3 linked regions of the Saccharomyces cerevisiae S288C genome follow. Changing the gene in region 1 together with any one later gene gives a genetic interaction. Each region holds a gene or a part of one and is shown in the gene's direction. Other genes may lie near its edges.

The links.
Region 2: mutations in HSL1 (region 1) and DEP1 together harm fitness more than expected from each alone (negative genetic interaction), as found in Saccharomyces cerevisiae (4 studies listed by BioGRID).
Region 3: mutations in HSL1 (region 1) and LST8 together harm fitness more than expected from each alone (negative genetic interaction), as found in Saccharomyces cerevisiae (4 studies listed by BioGRID).

What each region holds. Positions count from the first base shown.
Region 1 is NC_001143.9:247,062-250,819, forward strand, and holds the start of HSL1 (protein kinase HSL1), read left to right. Parts: upstream 1-1,858; coding exon 1,859-3,758. Other genes in the region: metalloaminopeptidase APE1, read right to left, coding at 1-621; YKL102C (uncharacterized protein), read right to left, coding at 1,001-1,306.
Region 2 is NC_001133.9:127,467-130,987, forward strand, and holds DEP1 (Rpd3L histone deacetylase complex subunit DEP1), read left to right. Parts: upstream 1-1,803; coding exon 1,804-3,021; downstream 3,022-3,521. Other genes in the region: bifunctional N-glycosylase/AP lyase NTG1, read right to left, coding at 1-636; SYN8 (syntaxin), read right to left, coding at 786-1,553; cystathionine gamma-lyase CYS3, read left to right, coding at 3,333-3,521. UniProt on the Saccharomyces cerevisiae protein: Component of the RPD3C(L) histone deacetylase complex (HDAC) responsible for the deacetylation of lysine residues on the N-terminal part of the core histones (H2A, H2B, H3 and H4).
Region 3 is NC_001146.8:618,169-621,636, forward strand, and holds LST8 (TOR complex subunit LST8), read left to right. Parts: upstream 1-1,898; coding exon 1,899-2,810; downstream 2,811-3,468. Other genes in the region: putative ubiquitin-protein ligase ASI3, read right to left, coding at 1-73; type II HSP40 co-chaperone SIS1, read right to left, coding at 339-1,397; mitochondrial 54S ribosomal protein bL27m MRP7, read right to left, coding at 3,145-3,468. UniProt on the Saccharomyces cerevisiae protein: Essential component of both TORC1 and TORC2. TORC1 regulates multiple cellular processes to control cell growth in response to environmental signals. Nutrient limitation and environmental stress signals cause inactivation of TORC1.

The sequences.
Region 1 (3,758 bases):
CAAGGAAGGAATTCGACAAACAGGTAGGGGTGTAGAATCAACCAAGGCGCTTTTAATTTCGTTAGTGCCCTTCTTCTTGTAAAGAAGGCGACCACCAATACCTAGGTCTCTGTCTAGCCACAATTCATTCAGTGTACCTCCATAGGGAGCAACAGCAATTCTTCCGTAACCTTCCGCTGTGTCTTTAAAGGAGACGGGCTTCAATTTGACCGTCAAAGCGTCCACATGAGATCCAATGACACCGACACCCTTTTCGGCTCTCCAGTTTTTGCCCAGGATAAAGGCAGATAGGTTAGTTCCATTTCTTATAGTGTAGAATTTCCCACCATCTTCGCCAATGGAGTCCTGCCAATTGGATTTCTCGCTCAAGTATTTGAAGTTATGCTTATCTAACAGCTCCGCGAAAAATGATACTACATGGTAAGTGGTAGGGTTCTTGTAAATGAAATCAATGAATTCCTGTGCAATATCCTCATAATTGTGCTCGAGGATGCACCACGAATTTTCATTTTCTTTCTTTTCCTTTTCTTCGTTGGCGATTTGGTTATTTTTAGATGGCTCTACAGTTAGCATCTGCAGAGTTTTCTTCAATTGTTCCAGTATTTCACGTTGTTCCTCCATTCTTTTTTTCTTAATTTTGTTGGTTGTGCAGGTTTCTACAATTGCACTAAGATTACTGATCAGGCTCTATACAGTGTATGTCTTGTTCTGTGAAGTCAACTGCTTATAAATGAATTTTTATTATCTAATGGAACGATTAAGGGGTGTGTCAACTATTTCACTTAACCCTATTCTTTCTTACTGTCGTTTGCTTGCATAGCCTATCTTACAGTAATAGAGGTGCAAAACAGCATCACCCCTAGTTGTTTTTCCCGAAAAACCTATCCCAGATTATTTTTTTTTTGAATTAGACAAGAAATCATCCGAAGACCTATTATGCTTCTGATTAAACCTTGAGAAAAACGGAAGTTTGCAACCTATACCCTAAAGTAGAAGCTGACTAATTCATATTCCTCACGAAATGGTGCGACCTCTCTTTATCCATGAGAAAAGGAAGGAGTGGGTTCTTGTTTGATGCTTCTTTATCTGATACCAACAAGCGCAAGAGATAAGGGATTACAATGTTATCATGCCTCAGAAAGTAATAGGATGACATTTTCTTGCAAACGTTGACATTAAAAACATAAAGTACCTTACGGCGTTCGGAGCCTACAAGCCTGCCACAATTTGAGCCGCTGCACAAGAGAACACCGAATGAACAACTGGCTGCAGCTGTCGATGAAACCTCAGCGAATAAAGCACACATTTGTGCGTTTTACAATAACAGGGAAGGTGGAATGTGTTGCCTTCGTCCTTATTTTTCGCGTTGTGAAATATTTTTACTAATTTTTCTTTTCGCGTGGTCATTTTCGCGTTGGGTTGTTTGGGCTAAATAGTGAAAACTAATCTCCATCACGTACCGTACCGTCTTGTACCGGCTGGGAGCAGCATTATAGTGGCCACTCTTATTGGCGTTCTTAATATAAGCAAGTTACCTTTTGCTCGAAACCTGTTTCTTCTTAAAACTCCCTTTGGATCGTAAGTTCGCTAGTTATCCGACTGCAAGGACGTAAATTGGACAGCGAGAGGCCATTAAAACAGAGAGTTGAACTCAAATAGATCATCAAATAGGTTGGATATCCATCATACTACTTGCTACTAATCGCGAAAAGAGATAAATAATAAAATTACAAGAAAGACAAGGTAAAAAGAACGACATAGATTTGCGGGACAAAAAATACTGATAAATAAATCAACAACCAACTATATTCACTCCTTTATTATTTGTTATTAATATTTTTTATTTTTACCACACGACATGACTGGTCACGTTTCAAAAACGAGCCACGTACCCAAAGGTCGCCCGTCTTCATTGGCCAAGAAGGCAGCTAAAAGGGCCATGGCCAAAGTAAATTCGAATCCAAAAAGGGCGTCGGGGCATTTGGAGCGTGTTGTACAATCTGTGAACGACGCTACCAAAAGATTATCTCAGCCCGACTCTACCGTAAGTGTTGCTACAAAATCATCAAAGAGAAAATCCAGAGACACGGTGGGTCCTTGGAAACTTGGCAAAACATTGGGGAAGGGATCTTCTGGTAGGGTTCGCTTGGCTAAAAATATGGAAACAGGACAATTAGCTGCCATTAAAATTGTCCCCAAGAAGAAAGCCTTTGTTCATTGTTCTAATAATGGAACTGTTCCTAATTCTTACTCTTCTTCCATGGTCACTTCCAATGTATCTTCTCCATCAATAGCATCTAGAGAACATAGTAACCATTCTCAAACGAACCCATATGGCATAGAGAGAGAAATAGTAATCATGAAATTGATATCTCACACAAACGTTATGGCATTGTTTGAAGTTTGGGAGAACAAATCAGAGCTGTACCTAGTTTTGGAATATGTTGATGGTGGCGAATTATTCGATTATCTGGTCTCGAAGGGAAAGCTACCTGAAAGGGAGGCTATCCATTACTTCAAGCAGATAGTTGAAGGTGTTTCCTATTGTCATTCTTTTAATATATGCCATCGTGATCTGAAGCCTGAAAATTTATTATTAGATAAAAAGAATAGGAGAATCAAAATTGCTGATTTCGGCATGGCAGCATTAGAGCTTCCTAATAAACTTTTAAAAACTTCATGTGGCTCTCCACACTATGCGTCTCCTGAAATTGTTATGGGTAGACCATATCATGGCGGTCCTAGCGATGTCTGGTCCTGCGGTATCGTTTTATTTGCATTACTCACCGGTCATTTACCATTTAATGATGACAACATCAAAAAGCTGTTGTTGAAAGTTCAATCGGGCAAATATCAAATGCCCTCAAATTTATCTTCTGAGGCTCGTGATTTGATATCAAAAATATTGGTAATTGATCCAGAAAAAAGAATTACCACTCAAGAGATATTGAAGCATCCTCTGATCAAAAAATATGATGATCTCCCAGTTAATAAAGTGCTGAGGAAAATGAGAAAGGATAACATGGCGAGGGGAAAATCTAACTCGGATTTGCATTTGCTAAATAATGTCTCGCCCTCTATTGTAACTTTACATTCAAAAGGGGAAATTGATGAATCCATCTTGAGGAGTTTGCAAATTTTGTGGCATGGAGTTTCTCGTGAACTAATCACTGCCAAGTTGCTTCAAAAGCCAATGTCGGAGGAAAAACTATTCTACTCACTGTTATTACAATATAAACAACGTCACTCAATATCATTGTCCTCGTCAAGCGAAAACAAGAAATCAGCAACAGAAAGTAGCGTAAATGAACCTAGGATTGAATACGCATCCAAAACTGCCAATAATACAGGCCTAAGGAGCGAGAACAATGATGTGAAGACTTTACATTCTCTAGAAATTCATTCAGAAGATACTTCAACAGTGAATCAGAACAACGCAATTACAGGGGTTAATACAGAAATTAATGCCCCTGTATTGGCACAAAAATCGCAATTTAGTATCAATACGCTCAGTCAACCTGAAAGTGATAAGGCTGAAGCAGAAGCTGTAACATTACCACCCGCTATTCCCATATTCAATGCTTCTTCATCAAGGATTTTCCGTAACTCATACACCTCTATTTCATCACGTTCGAGAAGATCGCTACGCTTATCGAATTCCAGATTATCATTGTCCGCTTCAACTTCTAGAGAAACTGTGCATGATAATGAGATGCCTCTACCTCAACTGCCGAAGTCGCCTTCAAGATATTCATTGT
Region 2 (3,521 bases), on another chromosome or scaffold:
AATATACTTGGCCTTCCTTGTGTGGAACCCAACTGAATGAATCAATTCGTCTAATTTGGTCTCATTGATTTGTAAAACGGCCTCTAATGTCATACCTTCTTCGCTGTGCAGTTCGTCTATACAATACCGCATTATGTTAAGCATTGCCATTGCGGTAACTTCATCTTTTGTTTGCGATGATAGCATCACCCCAAGAAGGACCTGTAATCTGTAGTCCCTCGGTGATATCTGCTCTTTCGAGATACCACACTTAGAGGCAACCGTTACAGGAATGGATGATCCACCAATTATATCGACGGGGGCTAGAATCTTAGATCTCAGTACTCGCATTCTAGCGTATGTTTCTTGAAACTTGTAAGGGACTTTCGTCGAGGCCGGAGTGACAAGGATCGAGGGGTCCAATGGTGTGGCCCACCTGTTGGGCACATTGCCGTTTCTAACCACAATCCATTCGAAGTACTGCTTATTTGGCAGCGATTTAACCCAGTCGATATCCACGGGTTGAGGGACAACCTCTTCTTGTTTGATTTTGGTCCTTTTCTCCGGTAGGAGTTCTGATTCTGGCCCAGTTTCAGTCTTTACCAGCGGTCTTTTCCTCAGAATTGCCATAGATGAGTATTTACTGATCTTTTGCATATTTTTTTTTTTTTTGGGCTATAAAGTATATATAGATACAAATATATGATGAATCATTAAAGAGGAGGTTATTACTAAGTGAAAGAAAAAGAAAAAAAAAAAGATCAAAACCAAACTTCGTATTCGAGCCTAAAAAACAGAATATAATGTTATAATACTAATAGAAGCAACAGGAGCACCACTATCAGCACAAGAATAATCACGCAGTTGCCGTTATCCTTGAACCTAGAATTGTTAAAGCCATGCATGGACCGAGAGGCCCTGTTCAAATTCCTACCATTATTATCAATCAGGTTTTCTAAATCAACCAGCAGCGAGTCGTTCTGAGAAACGATCTCATTATTAAGGTCCAGCGAAATGTCATGAGTCCTCCCAATAGACTGAGACAGTGCGCCCAAGTGGGAATCTTGCTCTAACAACTGCTGTTGCTGGTTAATAAATAGTTCTTGGTTGGAAACCATGGGTTGTGGTGGCTGTGGCTGTGACTGTGACTGTAACTGCGATTGCAATGGTTCATCCTTGTATGGAGTATGCGTCGAAGGCAGCGGCGACTCCTCGTCTTGTTCATCGTCATCCTTATACATGACCGTAAGCTCGTCATCATTCTTGAACCGCACTTTTTTCAAAGACTCTTTGGACACCTCATCAGTATTTCTTGCCACCTGCTGTTGGAACCTATACAACTCCTTGTCAACCGCCGTATCAGGAATTTTGTCCAGTATGGTATTGTATCGGGATATTAGTTCATCATTGGGCGCACACTTCTGCAATAACTCCAATATTGAGCCCAATTGCCGTTTCAAAGTAACGTTATCGTTTGAGGTCGGGGCGAGCTTCAACACCGACACTAGCCTTGTTCTTTCTTCGACCAGATCAGAGAGCTGGTCCAGTTCATAACCCAGCTTCAACACATCCATACCGTGTGTGCTTACGCATCTATTTGCTGTCGTGAGATCTGTCTCTATGCTTTATTCGTTTTCCATTGTAAAGTCTCAGCATTTATTTCTTGTTCTTTACTTGTTTTTGCCCTTTCGGGTGATCAAAGTCGTGCTGGGAAATTTTATTCTTATAAAATGATTTTTAGAAATAATAAACTCATAACAGTGCAACGGCAAAGTACAAGGGAAGGAAGCACAGAAGCAAGAGGAGGCGCATCGATCGTGGCAGATGAGTCAGCAAACACCACAGGAAAGTGAACAGACCACAGCGAAAGAACAGGACCTTGATCAAGAGAGCGTGTTGAGCAACATTGACTTCAATACGGATTTGAATCACAATTTGAATTTATCGGAATACTGTATATCCAGTGACGCAGGAACAGAGAAGATGGATAGCGACGAGGAGAAGTCGTTGGCCAATCTGCCGGAGTTGAAATACGCTCCCAAGCTATCCAGCCTGGTGAAGCAAGAGACGCTCACCGAGAGCTTGAAAAGACCACACGAAGATGAGAAAGAGGCGATAGATGAGGCCAAGAAGATGAAAGTGCCGGGAGAGAACGAGGACGAAAGCAAGGAAGAGGAAAAGAGTCAAGAACTGGAAGAGGCAATTGACAGCAAGGAGAAGAGCACCGACGCCAGGGACGAGCAAGGGGACGAAGGTGATAATGAGGAGGAAAACAACGAGGAGGATAATGAAAACGAAAACGAGCATACAGCACCGCCTGCGCTGGTGATGCCCTCCCCCATCGAAATGGAGGAACAGAGGATGACTGCGCTGAAGGAAATCACCGACATCGAGTACAAGTTCGCGCAATTGCGCCAAAAACTATATGACAATCAATTGGTGCGGTTGCAAACGGAGCTGCAGATGTGTCTGGAAGGGTCACACCCGGAATTGCAGGTCTACTACTCGAAGATTGCCGCGATCCGTGACTACAAGCTACACCGAGCGTACCAGCGACAGAAGTACGAGCTTTCATGCATCAACACAGAAACAATCGCTACCAGGACATTCATTCACCAGGACTTCCACAAGAAGGTCACCGACCTGCGAGCCAGGCTGCTGAACAGAACCACGCAGACCTGGTACGATATCAACAAGGAGCGCCGCGATATGGATATAGTCATCCCAGATGTCAATTACCACGTCCCCATCAAACTTGATAACAAGACGCTGAGCTGTATCACGGGCTACGCCAGCGCAGCACAGCTGTGCTATCCCGGCGAGCCCGTGGCAGAGGACCTCGCTTGCGAAAGCATCGAGTACCGCTACAGAGCCAACCCGGTGGACAAACTCGAAGTCATTGTGGACCGAATGAGGCTCAATAACGAGATTAGCGACCTCGAAGGCCTGCGCAAATATTTCCACTCCTTCCCGGGTGCTCCTGAGTTGAACCCGCTTAGAGACTCCGAAATCAACGACGACTTCCACCAGTGGGCCCAGTGACCGCCACACTGGACCCCATACCACTTCTTTTTGTTATTCTTAAATATGTTGTAACGCTATGTAATTCCACCCTTCATTACTAATAATTAGCCATTCACGTGATCTCAGCCAGTTGTGGCGCCACACTTTTTTTTCCATAAAAATCCTCGAGGAAAAGAAAAGAAAAAAATATTTCAGTTATTTAAAGCATAAGATGCCAGGTAGATGGAACTTGTGCCGTGCCAGATTGAATTTTGAAAGTACAATTGAGGCCTATACACATAGACATTTGCACCTTATACATATACACACAAGACAAAACCAAAAAAAATATGACTCTACAAGAATCTGATAAATTTGCTACCAAGGCCATTCATGCCGGTGAACATGTGGACGTTCACGGTTCCGTGATCGAACCCATTTCTTTGTCCACCACTTTCAAACAATCTTCTCCAGCTAACCCTATCGGTACTTACGAATACTCCAGATCTCAAAATCCTAACAGAGAGAACTTGGAAAGA
Region 3 (3,468 bases), on another chromosome or scaffold:
TGTTGTGAAAAAAGCTAAATACATCTCTGTTATGGAGCAATTGCTTAACATGTTGCAATATATTTGTAGACATCAGTCAAACTTTTGAAAATCCCTACGTAATGACTGTTCCTGACAAATTGTAGCCTCTCGGTGACCTTCTGTCAAGTCAACCATTCCTTACATACATCATTTATATGCCAGAGGGCAGGGTAATGCAGACATACAAAAACTTTAATTTACCGCGCACCGCACCGCGCAATTTAAGATTATTGAGTCAAAATTAATGATGTATATTATATGATTTCTGTGGTGATAAATTTATTTGAGTTTATAATTATATTTGCTTAGGATTACTATTAAAAATTTTCATCTATAGCACGTTTTTGAGCGTCGTTTAGTGATATTGGATAGTCCACTTTATATTTTACAATCAAATTACCTCTCTGAGATGGGTTCTTTGGAGTTGGCATACCTTGACCAGGATAAGTAGAAGTTTGTGAGGGTTGGACAGGCTGTACTCTCGACAAAGGTAAGGTTCTGCCATCAATTGTTTGGATAGTTTTTGAAAAACCTAACAATGATTCCTTGAAAGATAGTGGCAGAGTGTAAATTAGGTCATCACCGTCTCTTTTAAAGTTTGGATGGCTCTTTTCCTGGATGACAAACTGCAAAGTCTTTCTACGGCCCGTTTGAGGATTGTAATCACCCTGGTTCTTGTATGTTATTTTGGTACCAGCTTTCCAACCCGGTTTTAATTGAATGTCAATTTGTGTCTTTTCAGAGGCCCCATGTGGGCCCTTTCTTCCAATTTTAAATGACTTCTTTTTACCAACAAACAAATCTTCTAGACTAACTGGTAAATTAACTTGAACTGTTTCTTCCTCTGGATACGTGGGAGAGCTTGATGCTGATCTAAAGCCGCCAGGCATACCTCCCATGCCGCCATGCATTCCTCCCATTCCTCCAGGCATACCTCCCATACCAGCACCGCCGCCAGATGGATAACTAGAGAAACTGAAGCCACTGTCATCAGCACCACCGAATGGGGAACTGCCGCCAAAGAATTGTGAAAAAATATTGAAAGCATCCTCATTACTGAACGCATGTCCTCCGGAGAATCCGCCCGCACCGCCAGGGAAGCCTCCAGCACCTCCAGCACCGCCAGGACCACCAGGACCAAAGCTTGGACCACCAGATCTAGCAGCCTCGAGACCGTATTGATCATATATTTCCCTTTTTTGAGGATCATTTAAAATTTCAAAGGCCTCTGATATCTCCTTAAACTTTTCTGTGTCACCTGTTGGCTTATCTGGATGATATTTTAGAGCTGCTTTTCTATAACCCTTTTTCAGTTCTTGCTCATTAGCACTTGGAGATACTCCAAGTAAATCATAAAGTTTTGTCTCCTTGACCATTATTAGTTCTGTATACTATACTCTATTATATTGATGTGAATGTATTAAAAAAAAAATCTTAAAATGCAAACAACTTATCCTTTATCCTCTGAAGAGTTTCTGGATGGTTATACAATTCTAAGTCGTTAAAAGAATTCGTGTAAGAGCTTAAATAATATTAATTAGAATTTTTGACAAGAAAGCGCATAAGTTTAAAAAGGGATTAACAATACGGTAAAGGGACGAGAAATCTATACAATATATATTAAATCTCGAACTACCTTGGCAAGGAGTTTGTGCTGACAGTGGTTGAAAAACCCGTAAAAGGATATCCCATTCTTTTTCCAGAAGTTTCTGGAACGTTCATATAAACCAAAGAGGGTAACACAATACGTTAAGATTCAGAAAAGTAACGACTAGCTATTACTGATCATGTTATAGAAGAGTGCGACAACCATATATTATTAGCGCAGCGATCAACGTGGCAGTCTTGTCATCCATATAAAAAAGGAGTTCTGATTGATGTCTGTTATCTTAGTATCTGCTGGCTATGACCACACAATAAGATTTTGGGAGGCTCTTACTGGGGTTTGTTCAAGAACAATTCAGCATTCCGACTCACAGGTTAATCGCTTAGAAATCACCAACGATAAAAAGTTGTTGGCAACAGCAGGCCATCAAAACGTACGGCTTTATGACATTCGGACGACAAATCCCAATCCAGTAGCATCCTTTGAGGGTCATCGGGGAAACGTTACCTCCGTTTCTTTTCAACAGGACAACAGATGGATGGTGACCTCTAGCGAAGATGGGACCATTAAAGTTTGGGATGTGCGTTCTCCGTCCATTCCTAGAAATTACAAACATAACGCACCAGTAAATGAAGTCGTAATTCATCCTAACCAAGGCGAGTTGATATCTTGTGATAGAGATGGTAATATAAGAATTTGGGACTTAGGAGAAAATCAGTGTACCCATCAATTGACACCTGAGGACGATACCTCTCTCCAGTCTTTATCTATGGCAAGTGATGGTTCGATGTTAGCGGCAGCAAATACTAAAGGTAATTGTTACGTATGGGAAATGCCAAATCATACTGACGCATCCCATCTAAAACCGGTAACAAAATTCAGAGCGCACTCCACATATATAACTAGAATTCTACTATCATCTGATGTAAAACATTTGGCAACATGTTCAGCGGATCACACTGCTCGTGTGTGGTCGATTGATGATGATTTTAAGCTAGAAACGACATTGGATGGCCACCAAAGGTGGGTTTGGGATTGCGCATTTAGTGCTGACAGTGCGTATCTAGTAACGGCATCGTCCGATCATTACGTGAGATTATGGGATTTATCAACTAGAGAAATTGTCAGACAGTACGGTGGACACCACAAGGGAGCTGTATGTGTCGCATTAAACGATGTATAGTTTACAATTTATCAACTACCAAGCTTGAAGGACCGAAGTGACAAAAAACATTATGATTTTCAGTGTTTGCTTATCCGCCTTTTTGTAAATATAGATTTTACTATCCTGTGCATTTTAGTTAATTGATTGTTCACAAAATGAAAGCAATCGCGATGCATATCATCAATGAAAGGAAGACGAGAATGTACAGTATAAACATATTCCCTTGCATGTAGCACTAAATTTTAAGTTTCGTGTAGACGAAAGGTTTAGCTACTTGCGCGACAAAATAGTAATATTTACAGGCATTCTTAAACATTTTATATGTGTACATACTGTGCGTAAGGAAAGAAAATCAAAGCTTGCTCAAAAAAGCCCGCCTACTTCTAGCAATGACTTCAACTTTATTTTTGGTGTAATCAAAACGTCTAGACACAATTGACTTCTTCCCGCTTTTGGTTTCAACCGTACTATCTGTTTCGGGGAAGACCGACTTTAAGTATTTCCTACGCAAATGTACTTCTTCAGATAAAGTCAAAAAATTACAAGCGTCCTTGAAAAGCGCCTTAATATAATTCTTGTCTTTTTTGGTTTCTAAGTGTTGGGATTTTTCTAGGTCCTCTAATAGTTTTGCCTTCAAAGCTTGTTTTTCTTGTTCCGAAATATACTGGTGTAGCTC